Linked DNA regions of Medicago truncatula. Each later gene encodes a partner of the first gene's protein in a complex. Links are inferred from orthologs where the notes say so. Each region holds a gene or a part of one and is shown on either strand. Other genes may lie near its edges.

Evidence for each region.
Region 2: the proteins of NADH dehydrogenase [ubiquinone] 1 beta subcomplex subunit 8, mitochondrial (region 1) and NADH dehydrogenase [ubiquinone] 1 beta subcomplex subunit 7 are in contact, whole or in part, in a cryo-EM structure (PDB 8BEH), measured with the Arabidopsis thaliana proteins. The link is inferred for Medicago truncatula from reciprocal best matches to the Arabidopsis thaliana genes AT5G47570 and AT2G02050. Residues at the interface, in NP_568684.1 of Arabidopsis thaliana: Ser103, Lys104, Val105, Pro106, Phe107, Thr108, Pro109, Arg110, Tyr112, Pro113, Tyr114, Leu117, Glu120, Leu121; in NP_565280.1 of Arabidopsis thaliana: Met10, Ala12, Thr13, Gln14, Met17, Leu24, Gly25, Arg27, Asp28, Met29, Arg69, Met70, Ala72, Met73, Ile76, Arg77.

The regions. Positions count from the first base shown.
Region 1 is NC_053045.1:49,707,234-49,715,107, reverse strand, and holds the start of NADH dehydrogenase [ubiquinone] 1 beta subcomplex subunit 8, mitochondrial, read right to left. Parts: upstream 3,107-7,874; 5' UTR 3,025-3,106; coding exon 2,887-3,024; intron 2,795-2,886; coding exon 2,708-2,794; intron 2,626-2,707; coding exon 2,530-2,625; intron 1-2,529. Other genes in the region: L-lactate dehydrogenase A, read right to left, coding at 4,660-5,103, 5,945-6,553. UniProt on the Arabidopsis thaliana protein: Accessory subunit of the mitochondrial membrane respiratory chain NADH dehydrogenase (Complex I), that is believed not to be involved in catalysis. Complex I functions in the transfer of electrons from NADH to the respiratory chain.
Region 2 is NC_053042.1:54,626,477-54,634,557, forward strand, and holds NADH dehydrogenase [ubiquinone] 1 beta subcomplex subunit 7, read right to left. Parts: upstream 3,229-8,081; 5' UTR 3,112-3,228; coding exon 2,794-3,111; 3' UTR 2,779-2,793; intron 508-2,778; 3' UTR 251-507; downstream 1-250. Other genes in the region: pentatricopeptide repeat-containing protein At5g39350, read right to left, coding at 7,859-8,081. UniProt on the Arabidopsis thaliana protein: Accessory subunit of the mitochondrial membrane respiratory chain NADH dehydrogenase (Complex I), that is believed not to be involved in catalysis. Complex I functions in the transfer of electrons from NADH to the respiratory chain.

The DNA.
Region 1 (7,874 bases):
TTTTACAATTCCCAGGTCAATGTCCAGATTGTAGAGCTGCTACTTAGGTGCTGGGAGGACTGGATGTTGCAATTCTCTTGCTTACAGGGCCTTGCGCTTCTCAGTGCTGCAATAATACATTTCTTACCTGGGCTGGTGGATGCTTTAAGGGACACGTTATTTGGAATTATGGTTGTCAAACTTCATTTGGGTATAAAAAGAGCGTAGGTTGTAGGATCGTAAGATCCCATCAAAGAGACAAAATTATAGAAATAACTAAGAAAAATAAACTTAACATAATTATCCTAAAAAAAAGACAATTTTTTTATTGACTTAATCATAAAGAAAAGATGAGAGTTTGACCTAAACATCAACAATAGAATTTTTTTTATTAATTCCCACCACGGAATGATAATTGCAAAGATGACAGTTGCATTGCATAGATGAGAAGTTCCCAAATTGGGAAGTAATTACTCAATTAAAACCCACACTGTCCCAAAAAAAGTGTATGTTCAGTGTATCCCTCTTTGCAATGAGAACCGGGTCAACTTCTGAATCAAAAACGTGTGGAACCGGGTTGTAAATGTGCATGTTGTTGCGGGTCAAAAACTGTTCACTCGGGTCACCACGTGAGAATCGGGTCGAGAATGTGTGAAACCAGCATGAGAGAAAGCATTGCTCCCTCGATTCCACGATCTTCCTCTGCGCGCTCACTGCTCCGGCCTCTCTAACAATTTTTATGCCGCTCCCAATGGAGGGAGAAAAACACATTAAATCTTACAATCTCACAATCTAGATCACACTCTTAACAACCAATGGTTGAAATGGTAGTTGAGAAAAGATTATCATTCACTATCACAGCAAGTCACTTTAAGTTCTACAGCATAAATTCAGGTGCCATTGTGAGGCATGATTACGACATAAGAGTGCGCTCACCTACTACTTAGAATAAATAAATATGCAAATCGTTATATAAATAATATGTATCTCTCATTTTCATTGATTACAATCTCCAGCTTGAAACTCTTATTCTTACAAACTCTTGTGTATGATAGGCTAGATTGCACCTTCTACGTTAAGAATTAAGATATCCTATTTTACATGTCTACTGTTTTTCCAGTCAGTCCTAGGTAAAACCTAGGAATTTGACAACCTTGGGATGCATTTGATTTTCTAAATAATGAAGATAAAACAATAATACTTGTTCCATGTTTTATTTTAGGATTAGTCAGGAGACAGAAGAAAACAAAAGATGAAACACATGACAAAATAAAATAAAATTTGTTACTTGATTATTCAGGGGACAAGGTTTTGTCTCACACAAAATATTATCTTAGAAAAATCCTTATCTTAATTGCTCACTTTCTTAAGTCTCCTTCACTCCCCCAAACCCTTATTCCTCAATCCATTCTACCTTTTCCCTCACCTGAAACAACAATCATGTGCATTGTGCATCAACCACCAAATAGTGAACAAATTAAAAAGTTGTGTTGTAACTCAACATATTGAACTTCTATGAGTGTGCATCAAACAAGGTGCCCCACCTACAAGATAAAAGACTAGTTAATGGCACCCATGGAATCCACTATAGTGCTGGAGTGGAAACCCCAACCTACCCAAGGCCAATGTAAGGTGTCCATCGCATTGTAGCGCAAAATTGAACACAAGTAAAAATACATATATTTCAACTACTATCTGAGTTTCCCAATCCTAATTTTACACTTTATTGATATCCCTCGATTTTAGGCACCAGAAACATAAGAGTTTGAAACCCTTCAACCCAACCATTCACCCATCCTTTGTGCTAAGCTGAGCTGACCTTTGTTTCAAACCAACCAATAACCAACTACTCATCGGCATCGCTTCTAGCCAAGCAGTGTTTTCCACCAAAGGTCTCTGTTCATTCATTCCCCCTGTTTCAGCACACCTATTACTTGTGGAACACTACTTACTCATTATTCACCCATAAACCTCCACTCACACATGTCTCTGTTAAATTCAGTGTTGTTAAATGGTGGCCATGGAGGAATCGCATGGTGATGGTGGATTTTTTGTCAACCTCCATAAGCAAATATGTGAAGCCAGTGAAGGGGTGCCCGTCATGATGGTGCCAACGGCCGCAATGGCATGCTTATATGGCAGGTTTTTGACATTCTTCCGTTGACAATATTGGTTAAATTTTTGTTTCTAAGTTGTGTTAAGTTCTTCAAACTTGCACCCTCTTTTTTAACTCCATCATTTTCCTTTTACTTTTGGTATATGGAAATTGTGCCTTTAGGCCATGACTTTGATAACTTTTATAAAACTCATTAATTTAACATTATATTTTTTACTTGGGAGCATGTCTATATGTCTAGCACAAATTCTATCTCTTATATCATATTCATTAATAAAGCTTTTCGATGTCAATCACTTCATACCAATGCCACTATCAGAGAATGATAACAAATTAACCATATACAGTGCACCCAAAGGATCTAAATAGAATAAGAAAATACATAACAAAATGGAACCAAATCCCAAAAATCAAGAGCGAGCAAGTTAACTTACAAATGGTGTCTTGGAAGCTTTATCATTCCACACAGCCAATAATCCCAAACCCGCAAAACAGCTCAATCCTCCACAAAGCCACGCCAATGCTTCATACTAATTTCAAACCAAAAATTCATCAACTTGATGCATATTTCACATTACAACACTTATATCCTAAATGGTGAAAAGTAGTTACCTTTCCAACAGTATCAGCAATGCGATCTATACAAGGTTCAGGAAATGGAGTACCATTGTCCCATGTAAGTTCTTCATTCATCGGAAGCTGAAAAAACATCACCAGAATTCGAAAATTGAGGTTAATTTTCGTGATTCTAAGAAAATTGAATTGAATAGGTTAGGTTAAGAGAAACGAACGGGTTTGTTAGGGACGTAGTGTTTGCCGACGGGGAGACCCATGCCGGAGCGAAGGCGGAGAGATGAAGCTACAGATCGGTGAACGACGCCGTTTCCGCCTAAGATTTGTGATGCTACGTTTGTCAATCTACCTGCCATGGTTATTGCTTCGATTCTTCTTCTTTTTCCTCTTCCTTCTTTGTTTAATTTCTGTTTGATTATTGCGTAATGTTTATGTTACTGCAATCACAGGCCAAACGACTTCGTTTTGGAAAAAAATATCCCTTTTCTTATTTTATTTTTTTTATAATTAAAGTGGGTTGGATTTTCTACCCTTTATTGTAAGTTGGGCTTGCTACTACATTTTTTGATTTCTTTCTACACCCCTTCTCCTTTGTAAAGTATCTTTTTCTTACCGTGAACGAGAAAATGAAGTGTTTAATGACTAGATTTATTGTGTAAATAAATAAATTTGATAGTGCATACATTTAATTATTTAATGTTCAAGAATGCGGAGAACTACGACAATTCTACATACGAACAAGTAACGGCATAATTTATACAATTAATCAATCAATCAAAATGGATAGTAAAAGGACAAATATTGCACTACAAAAATTTGAAAATTATAAAATGCCAAATTTGTGCTATATCTCATTTTTTTTTCACCCTCTTTGTAACACCATGATATCATTAGATTAAAATTACTTCGTGGTGCAAGATGAAAACAAAGGTCTGGTTTTAATTATTCTAGCAATGACGTGTCTGCAGGGAGGACAATGGAGAGTGATAGGGAGTAAATTATGGTTTTCTGTCTGCTTTTAATAGTTTGAGTTGCTGTCTGGTTTTTCTCTTATGTTTAGGCAGCTTGATTTGGCTAGTTGTTACAATCATTTAGAGGAAGTAGCATGAGATTGAAGGAATGTATGAGGAAAAATAATAATAGGGTCTATGTGGCTTAGGCAACTTGTACGGAGTTTATGGAATCTACACAGCTGCTATTAAAAAAAAATAGAAACTAGTGTTCCTGGTTTTGGCTCAATCAATTATTTGTATTTAGTCAATTATTCTCCTAATTCAATTGGATGGTGGCATATGTGTGCTATGGTTAATTTTGTTTGTGTTCTCGTGTCTTGGGCAGCTTGATTGGTGTAGAAGACACTGATATGCATAACTCTCGTTTTACTCTTGGCATTACTTAAGCTTGGAACAGTGATATATTTAACCATTTCCAAAATAAACTTTATGGCTGTCAAAAATAAAATACCACACTCTCTTTACCAATAGAGAAAACATAGTTTACATTTTTCACTCTATTCCATAACGAGACAATATGGTAAAATATACTTCAAATGAGTAATCAGAATTGGAACATTATCATCCTTTTTTCTTTTTGGATAAGCGTAATATTGCCATCCATATTTTCATCTATAATAAATTATTGAAATTACTCTAGTTTATTTATGTTCATTAATAAATATAATTCCTTTCTTTACCTTAACGATATTGTAGAAGTCAAGTCCAACGAACAAAATTTATGTTTCACTCTTGCATTAAACTACCCTGCGTGGTGAACTAACAAGAGGAACAAAGAGTAATATTATTACAAAGAACTTGAAATTTGACTGGTAAAATCATATACTACAAAGCACACACATATTACAAGATCTGAATTCAGCGACCATTTTGGATGCAAGCAAGTACTAAGCAAAAAACACTTGCAGTGGAAGAACACCATGGGAAATGTAAAAGACTAACAAAACCATAGTTAGTGAGTCTGTTGGATGGACACAATTAAATACCCAACTGAGTCTGAACCTCTAAGATAGTTTTAGCAGAATCCCTAAGCCTTTGTTCCTCCTCTTTATTCATGTGCACATTCGTTACACCAAGCACCCCTCCTCTTCCAAGCTGTGCTGGCAAGCTCAAAAACACTTCAACATCACCTATGCCATAAAAGCCCTTAGCTAAAACAGACACAGGGTGAATCTTCCTTTGATCCCTGATAATGGACCGCGCCAAGCTAGCAACCGAGTACCCAATGGCCCATGAAGTGTAGCCTTTTAGACTGATGACTTCATAAGCGCTGTTTATCACAGTCTTGTGTATATTCTCCAGTGTTTCTTTCTCATATGCAATCTGTTGTTTCTCCAAAAAACTCAGCACGGGAATACCACCAATGCTGATACTAGACCACAATGCTACTGAACTATCCCCATGCTCCCCTACTATGCATGCCTGCACCAATAACACTTTATTTCACACTTCAAACTTTCTCCCTTTCTATAGTGACCACAGAAATCATCAAAAAGTCATCACTTTTATTTTTCATTCCAAACAACATTGAATTAATAAACATTTAGATCATCCTCAAAATTGTAAATACTAGACAATTGGTCCCAAATTACACGAAATGAAAATTAGTCCTTGAACTTAAAGATCGTCAATCAATTCAGTCATTCTGTCGTTTAATAGATCAGAAATATTGAGTTAACATGTTATGACATTTAGCTCCAGCATGTATCTAATAATTTGTTTATAACTTATATTGATCTCTATTCAGCAATTTATAGTGTTGTTTAATTTCATGAACTGGCAAGTTCTATGTCCCCAATGGACCATTACTTAAAAATCATTTGAAACTACTCTAATGAAGATTGAAGACATCATTCGGAAGTTAAACTTTGCAGTCCTTCTCGTTCTTATGGCTGAGACGCTAATCTAATTGGTCTAAGCATACTTCTTTTCCCTTGTTTTTATGTCAAACTGACACCAATTAAGTCATCGTCTCAATGAGAACAAAGAATTCTAAAAATTTCTACTCCAAAAGGCAACATATGTTGGTGTTTGTGTTAGTTTCAAACAATTTTCATGTCTGATTCGGTGTCACCGGAACTAATTTGTTATTTGACACTAATTGTTTGATCCCTAGAGGTCGAAAATAGTAATTCACTCCTTTAAATAACTCCAAATCATCTAACATGTCATCATGAAAATAATGCAAGATCACAACAGAATCTAGTACTTCACGACAATGTAAAAAAAAAAAAATAGAGAGAAAAAAGAAAATGAGAATGACCTGAACATCCTGAGCGTTGACCTGGAGGTGATCAGCAATGAGGAAGCAAAACCGAGATGAATCCAAATTGGTACCCGACCCGATGACCCGATTAGAAGGAAACCCAGAAAGCTTCCATGCGATATAGGTAAGAACATCAACGGGGTTAGACACGATGATCAGAACCGTTTCCGGCGAGTAACGAGCCAAAGGAGGTATAATCGCCTTGAACAGAGAAAGATTCCTCTGAAGAAGATTAAGCCTAGACTCGCCACCGATCTGTCTTGCACCGGCGGTGACAATACAGAGATCGGAGCCAGCAGTGACAGAATATTCAACGGAGGAGTTGATCTTAACGCGGGGGAGGAAAGCAGCAGCGTGTTGAAGATCAAGCATTTCGCCGCGGAGTTTGTCGGGTTTGTTGTCGACGATGACGAGCTCGTCTGTGAGGTCTTGAGTTAGGATGGTCTGAGCAATGGCCATGCCGACGTTGCCGGCGCCGATGACGGAGATCTTGTTGTGACGCTTAGTGGGTGATGGTGGTGCTGCGTTTGAGATGGGTTTGAAGAAAGCTTGGGTTAAATCTAGGCCGTCTGGGCCTAACGTCGAACCAGAACCGCTCTTGTGCATGATGATGATTTGTTAGATGCAGGTATATGAATAGCAAATGTATGTGGTCTGTGAGACGAAAAGAAGAAAAAGAGACGTGTGTGTGAACTGTGAAGTAACACACTGGACTGTGAAGGGAAGAAAAGAAAAAGATACTGGTTTGGAAAACAGTAGGACCGAATAACACTGAAACAGTGGGCTATATACGTGTGCTTTTGTCATTTGATCTTGCAATTTGGAATTTAGATATTTGTGCACCGGTGCTAGTCACACCAAAAAAAAAATGTTATATTTAAATTTATTTAAAATTTTACAATAATATCAAAATTGTCTCTTCATGTAAATTTTTAAAAACTTATCTTTTATGATCATTCTGAACTCTTACCTCCTTTTATCCACAAATCACCATAGATGTGCAACCAATATCTGAATCAACATCTTTGTTATTGATCTGTACTATATTCATAAAGGTTAGCGAATTTCATGAATTTCATTTTCGATGAATTTCTATTTGTTTATTGTTTGTTTTGGTATGAGATATGCCTCTCAATTTGATTTTAAGTGAGAGGTTAGTGTAAATTAAGTTTACGTGTATGTATATAAAAGGGGTTAGTGTAGTTTACGTATGTAAGTTAATGTAAATTCAAGTTTACGTATGTTCAATTTAGGTTAGTGTAAATTCAGTTTACTTACGTTCAATTTAGGTTAATATAAATTAAGTTTACTTATGTTCAAGGTTAATGTAAATTAAGTTTTCTTATGTTCAATTTACGTTAATGTAAATTAAGTTAATTTGAAATTTTTATTTTAGTTAACAGGAATGATAAATGGACACAAATTTTCAAACACAATACAGACACCATATTAGAATACGGTATTTTTTTGTTTTTTATTTGTCTTTTTCCTCTTTCTCTTTCTTCTCTCCCTCCCCCCACTGCTTCCTTTCTTTCATCTCCCACCATCACCAACCAACCGCTGCTCCTCTCTCCGGCCATTGCTCTGATTTTCGTTCATAGCCCCACCACCACCACCTCTCAACCTTCTTCTAAGATCCATCTCACCCACCGCAACCACGGTCATCACTATTCTCACTGTCGCCGCCTGAGCACTCGCCAGTCACAGTCTCTTCTCCTCCGATGCTCTCAGATCCGACCACCACCGCCTCCTGCGACCATCACACGTATCTCCTCCTTCGATAGTTTCATATCTGACCACCACCACCAGCGAGCTTGTTCACCGTCGCTGCTGTCTCCTACAATAACAACCTCCTTCATCGTCATCCTTTCCATCTTGTTTCACCACCGCAATCAAACCTCTCATTTCCTCCGCCTTCATTGCAACT
Region 2 (8,081 bases), on another chromosome or scaffold:
GTATGATTAAAATATTTTTAATTTTAAGAATATTGTGAACCAACCTCTTCAAACTATTACGATTACTCCTTCGAGTTGCTTTTATTTTCTTTTACAAAAAATTATGTTATTCTTTTAAAAAAAAAAAAATACTAAATCGACACCGTAGTAGCAGGCAACATTGGACTAACCTTTAAACCTCATCATTCAACCGCCAGATTGAATAGTTCGATAAACTAGGTACAAGTTCTAAAATCAGATCCAGATCCTATAACCAAGTATTATATATATTTTCAACTACTATTGTGACTAATGGAAGCAAAATATGTGGATTCATGAACGCAATCGTGATTCCCTTTATGAGATTTTATTTCTTCAAGTACAAACATGGTTTACCACAGGGAAAATAGCAAGAAAATCAGTCTGTATAAGTCTCTGGACAAACATTCCAAGGCAACTTTGAATCCAAAAAATAGAAAAACATGAAAGAACATCCCACACAAGCAAAGATTCCTGCCAAAAGTTTAACTGCATCCAAATATAACATAACATGGATCAGAAAGCAATCAGGAAATGCACTTAAACCAAGGTGGACACCATGAAGAACAGGAAAATAACACACTTAAACCAAGGTGGACACCATGCTTAAAAACTGAGACCTCCTGGCTTATACCAACTATTAAGCTTGCAAAACATTAAAATTTAAAAATAAAAAGATTCATTTTTTATCACGTATAGTGCAGAAAGAGCCTATATATCATCAAAGTTACCAATTCATCAAACAGTCCAGTAGAAAGCACATTCATAAATAATTAAATATTACCTTCAAGCTGCAGAAATACAAGTGACAAACAGATTTACAGATTCTGCAGTATCCTCAAGTCACCTATTCATTGCAGTATTTTGTGGCAAATAATTATTTATTTGTTTTGAAAATACTTTAATTTCTGCTACCACTCACAGCTTTTAAAGTTGAGGTTTTAAGGTATGTTTGGATGGAGAGTTTGGGAGAGAAGAGGAGGGAAGGTAGAACTTCATTCGAGGCCTACCATCAAATTTAAAGCAAATGAATTGGGTGATATCCTTACATTTTTTTGGTGCAATTAATAATAAAGCTTGAGTATACAAGTACAAATTCATCAACGTTTGTTTCAACAAATAATTGTTTTACCTCTCAATATAATGTTCTCCTATAGTCCAAACAAAGACATCATAATATTTTGTATATACAGTTCAAAATGGCACTTTTATTCCTCAAAGCCAGCATTGGATCTCATCTGCCTGGAGCACAATGATAGGGACTTGGGTATTATGGGGTGCCTAAGTCCCACATGGCCACATTGAGTAGTATGGGATGCTTGATGGCTAGTTTGTAAGGGTGGGTGGGTTCCCCAAGTTCTTAGATACTTATCACATTATTGCTCGTAATCAAGCCCAAGTGCCTAAACATAACTACTTGCATTGCTCAAAAGGCAGGGCTCTCATATTACTTTTCAGCCACGGGACTGACTATAATTTATATTAACTAAAATCAATTAATGTCCAGTCCACCTAAAATATATTTACATATACCCCAGGGTTAGACAAGGTTAACATTGCCCAAAAAGCAACGGGTTTACACTGAGGAATGGATTCCCCTGTTCGCAATTTGCATTCCCTTTCAAGCCATTTTAGGAATCTGAGGATGAAGAAAGTATTGTAACAAGGAAGCTTGGAGAAAGAGATAAAAAACCAAATGGGAACATATTATCAAAGATAATCTGTGAGATACACCAATGCTCTATTTATAGAGCTTATTAACCACAAACCAACAAACAATATTGGACAAGTGATGTCTGCAATGGCTACAATTAAAACAGAACCATAAACAAACAATATTGGAGGCAAATCACAAGTTTGCACAAAATCATTGTGGTCAACCAAAGCGCATATCAACCGAAGAACAGTCTCAAGAAACTTGATTCCAGGCTCTACAAAGCGGAAATTATTGAGACGTGGTTAATTCATCTAAGACCTATTCTTCATGCTACCAATGTTATGATTCCAACACTCGTCAAAGAACCAGGGCTTTTTCAAAAGATAAGAACTGACATACACTTTAACAAATCCATCTTTATAGCCCTCTTTCAAATGTTTACACACAAGTGACATAACGCTCTGATGATGGCAGCCACAACAGACCAATCACAATTTATCAGACACGTATGAGGGCATTATAGCATATGCCATTTCAAAAGAACAACACAACTCTTAAAATCTGGGTCAAGCATAACTTAACCCTTACAAAACTGGCTTTGAAGATGAGGACTACCCAAGACATATGACAACATTTTGAGGCCACTTCACATTCAATGTGGGACCATTAACACCCACCCCACCCACACACCATTCCTCACGCCCCGTAAGAGACACAAACTATAAAATTAAAACAAGATAATGGACAATTAGAAAAGTTACCATTTCGGTTATGATTCGAGGCAAAACAATGATACTTTGAACCACACAATTCCTTTGTACGAAGCAGAACAAAACTCATAGTTTGTCTTTGCTATTTATAAAGCACACTACCGGTTCTGAGCTCACAAACCCAATTACCATTCAAAACTATACAGTTCTAAGAAAATGCCCCAAAACTAATTAAGCAAAACCCTAATTTATCAATACAACAAAACAAAAGGAATATACACAAATTTATCACCCATAAAATAAAAAACATCAATTTCCTAACAGCGAAATCTAATTAATCAAACATAAAAAATAAAAAACCTCAATTCCAATTGAAAGGAGAAAGAAGCTTACATAACGAGAGAGGGATCAAGCATTGGCGGGTTTAGGGATGAGAGGAATAGCAGCACCCTGACCCTGGGTAACGGGTTGTTTGGAATTAGCATTTTGATTTTCGCGGATCTTCTGCATCTGAAGCATTCTCTCCATGACGAGTTCGTACTCGCACTTTTCATAAGAGTGGCGTTCATTCTCGCACTTCCATGGAAGATAGAATTCAGCTTGTCTGCATTTGTTGAGAGGGATGAGCAAATGAGCGCATTGATCTCTGTAAGCCAATGGAACCCTAGCTTCCACCATCTCCTCTTGTGTTGCAATCATCTTCTTCGATGATCCTTCAAATTCCATCTTCGATTCGCGAGATTTCAACTCTACCAATATAATTGTTGATTGGATTCTCTAATTGCTTTGCTTTGCTTCGAATTGAAATGAAAAATTCCCAGCCGCAGGGTATTATTATTATTGTTCTTCAGTCAGATAAATATTATTTCATTTTCTTTAAAACAATTTTTTTTTTATTTTTTCATGTTAAGTATGTTTTTAAAAAAAAGAAAAATGTTTCTAGTCCTACAAAATTACAAGCTTGCAAGTTTAGTCCATGCAAAAAATTTATTCATTTTTAGTCCTTATTTGGACTATTTTTGAGAACTAAATGTGTCCATTTTTTTCTAAAAAGTTTTTAAAATATCGATTATTTTTACAAATTACATTATCATGAAGACTAAAATTACCATTAAAATTTTATAGGGACTAAACTTAAAATTTATGATTTTGTAAGGACTAAAAACATATTTAAGGTCAGTTTAGATAAGGCTTATTTTGAGTTTATATAAAATAGTTTATGCAAATAAATGAGTTTTTTATATTATTTATAAGTTTGTCAATGTAGTTTATAAAAAAACAGGTTATGAAGATACAATTTTCGTTAATAAAAACTAATAAATTAACATGAAAGCTTATTTATTTGCATAATTTATTTTTAATAAGTTCAAAAATAAGTCAATTCAAAAGGGCTCTTAATCTTTTTTTTATGGCTAAACGTTTTTAGATTTCTGCCAACTTTTGTTGTTGATAATTTTTTTTTGGTATATTGTTGTTGATATTATTAACAATATACTATAATATAATAAGTTGTCAAAAACTGTTAAAATATTTTTTTTCCCAATTTTATATTTTACATAAAATTCATTTTGGTTATCAGCAAGAAGAAAAAAATCATTTTGGCCATTTATGTTTTGTTTTGTTTTTTTTACTAAAAATAAGGTTATGTAACCAAAAAAAAAAATCAGTAGATTATATCAAATATAATACAAGTTTATAGTGGTATTGACTTGAAACCTGAGAGTGTGCTCATCCTTAAGGTTTCAGGTTCGATTCTCTCTGGTGTCAATTTGAAGGGGTTAGTTTAGCTTCTTAAAAAAAAAAAAAAACTGAATTTGCAAACAAATTCAACATTCAAGTTAGTAGCATAATACCACAAAAGTGCCTGCAAAAGTGATAAAATTAAAGTGGTTGAAGTATCCATGCCTCTGAATTTGTAGTGTTAATGGTCAAGTCAACATAGGTTGAATCTATTTTGAGTCGAAATTGATCTAGCAATATGAAGGAAACAAACACCGCAACAAGACTAAAGAATTCTAGTTTGATAGTGCTTAGAATGTCTCTTTCATATTGAGCAATTTTGCCCCTTCCCGAGCCCCAACTCTAAAAAGGAGGGATTAAACTATGCTGCAGTAGACGACGAACAAAACAACAATGTTATAATCAGACAACGAAATCACAAAAATAACTCAAGTCCATGTGAATAACACTTATTCAGATAAAATGAGAGAAAAAACAATATATAGAGGTGATTGAAGGTCAAAAACTATTCAATATCGCATCTCTCCTATAATGTAAAAGTACAAAAGTTAAAATATAAGATGAAGTTTATCTTGCTAAAAAATTAGGTTGGGCTTCAAATTTTCTTGACACAAAATCCACTTCACATACAAGGTGCCAATAGTTCACCAATTTTTTTTTACCAGATGCCAATAATTTTTTATGATGTTGATTGTATTATAGTCGTACGTGTGGTCATCTAAGTAGATTGCATGAAACCCTCTCAATCCATCAATTCTAATTCTCTGAAATGGATCATCTCCTTCAAGTGCAAGAGAAGGTATGAAAGAACAAATGTAGTTTTTTATTTTTTATTTTTATTTTTTATAGAGAATGGAAATTGAAGAGATAGATAGAACGGAGAGCCATGGCCTTCAAATATGGTACTATTTCATTTTTTTTTTTGTTGCTAAATTGCATTTTTGGTCCCTTAACTATTTAGGTAGTATCACTTTGGTCCCTTAATTAAAATCCGATTTATTTTGGTCCCTTGATTTCTCTCTGTTACACATTTTAGTTTTTTTCGTTAGTTTTAATTCAAAAACGTTAGATTTTCTTCATCTTCTTCTCTTCTTTTTCATCTTCATATCATCTCCATCAACCTTCAACAACAAGAATCCCAGAAAAATTTCAGAAGAAAATGAATAAAACCTAACGTTTTTGAATTAAAACTAATTGAAATGACCAAAATGTGTAACTGAGAGAAGTTAAGGGACCAAAATGTGTAACTGAGAGAAGTTAAGGGACCAAAATAAATCGAATTTTACTTAAGGGACCAAAGCGATACTACCTAAATAGTTAAGGGACCAAAAATGTAATTTAGCCTTTTTTTTTTTTTTTTTTTTTTTCCTTTTGTATATTTGTTTATTACACGTGAAATAATGAGTCATTTATATGATATGTTTTTTGTTATTGGCCCCTTACTCCTTAGTGTCTCTTAGTTATTCCCACTACTAACAAATCTCTGGCTTTACCACTTATTGCAATTGTACTCATATATGTGGATTATTTATCGCAATGTCATAGACCTATATCAATTATGAAGTTGAGTTGAGTACGAATCTCAACTACACTAACCATTAGCAAACATATTAACTTTAGGGCATGTTGCAAGCAACTGCCAACAATTCTGTTATTGGTATTAGAGTGACACAAATTGAATTCATAATAAAAAAAAGTGACACGGCTTTTCAACCCCAAAAAGTGCTTGTCTCTCTTGATAAATTGTTGTTTGATCCTCCTGTTTGGTTTGTCTTCCAATTTGATTTTACTTGGTAGCATGTAAAAATATTTTATACATCGGAACTCAGTGAAAGTGTTGCTATCGCCTCCTTCGTAAAATTGTTTTCTTTTCAGCGAAGAACAAATCTTGATTAACATTTTAGAGAAAACTTGTGAAGCAGTTTACAAGCTGGGTTATTAGATGAGCATAGTAGCATACAACCTTGGATAACACATATTGAAAGCATATGTAGTTATGTACCATAGGAGTAGACGAACATTAGAGCTCAAACATGACTGACTGCAGAGATAAAATTCAAATTATGGAAATCAGCTTTTGATATAGGAAGCACAATGACTGACTGCAGAGTTTATGATTATTGCCTCAATCATAATCATAAACTCTGTTAATGAAGGGAGAAGAAAAAACTATTTCTAGCATGACTGCAGGGATAAAATCAAACTATGTTGGATGGAAAATTTTAGAATCAACAAAAATTCGCAAAAGTCTGTTTATTCAAATAAAAATTATTTAATCAAAAAAATATATAAAGAAAATTTCAATCTTATTTGACAACAATTTTAAAATGGATTCATTAATGCATTTGTGTACATAAGGATTTCAAGAATGTCCAACTTATCAGACAATATATGTCACTCTTATCTAAACTGCTCTTGTAGTTGTAGCAGTCTATGAATAACAAAGTATGATATCATTTTTGTACAACTATAAAAGTTACATAAGGGTAGTAGGGTTCAAAGGAGGTATGCCTTCACAGAGTACAAATATTTCTTACAGAACATATTTTTGTAATAAAAATGATATAAATATCTGATGAGAGAAAGCAAATGACACTAACCTTTCCGGTTGCATTCAACTCATATATACTTGGTAATTTCCCATCACTTACACCATGCCTGTTAACACTTCATTGTCAATATACCAGTGACTGACACCGCCGTTTCAGAAAGCCATGCTCTCCTTGGTAGAAAGGTTAGATCCATGTGAATTAATTAAGGTATTGATCTTAATGGAATATGCCTCCAATATGTGGATAAATCACACTATTGGTTAAATGACATCAGCCTCAGGTAGGCATAAAAATTTCAATTATTGCAATTTATACCCCGTTTGTGTAACACATTGAACTTGGAGCTGAGCCTAATGTAGTAAACAAATATCAAAGATTACAACCCGATAGATGGGTTTACTCAACTCCTTTCTCAACTTGGCGCAAAGTTTGTAAGGAACCAATTCAACAATAACATTCAACATTCTTAAACTATGAACATGGGATTTCATCCAACTCAAGTATTCAACATATCTTACAAACTGAAATTCCATTGATATTTCACACTGCAGTATCAGCTCGGATACATGCATCTTCAAAGCGTTACTATGTAATTTTTGGATATCTGGGAACAGAACACGCTTGTCATCAAAATGAATTCATTATGAGTTCCATAGAAACTAGTCAATGACAAGGAACATACAATCATCATATCTTGTTCAGTGATTCCATAAACCAACTAGAAGTAGCAACAAAATCCAACTACTCATAAAGAGAATGTGAGAGTAAGTGGTTGTGGAAGGACTAAGTGGCGCACAATGATTTGACAACCTTAAAACTTGGAAAACTGTTTCGGTGAAACCGCAAACATGGCATTAGCAATCGAGAAACTTGTAAGATAATGAATGTGTGAGAAAAACACCGGTAGTCAGTATTGGCAATTGGGTAGTAACAAAGTGCATTCAGGGAAATTGGATCCCAGTTCACCACCTTGGAACTCCATGCTGTCAAATATAATTAAAGTTACGTGTTTCCTACAAGACCACCATTTATCTCCATCATAATTAACACAATGGCAGCCAACAAGTAATAGGCACTTCTCCCTCTATGAAGGAAATGCCTCAACCCATTTTCGATAGAACTTTCATGTTTGTGGCTAATGTTGTTAACTTGACATCACACTCTATAAGAACACGTCCAGTTCACATATTGCTAACCTCAACTAAGCTGTTAGCAGGTGTTTTTCGTAGTCCAACCTCATTTACCATATTCCTGACTCTCTCTGCATCTCTCCACCTTCCTACAGCAGCATAAAGTTTTGCTAACAGAACATAATTTCCCGTGTTTTCTGGTTCAAGCTCAAAAGTCCACCTAGCAGCTATCTCTCCCAGTTCAACATTTTCATGTATCACACAGGCGCCAAGT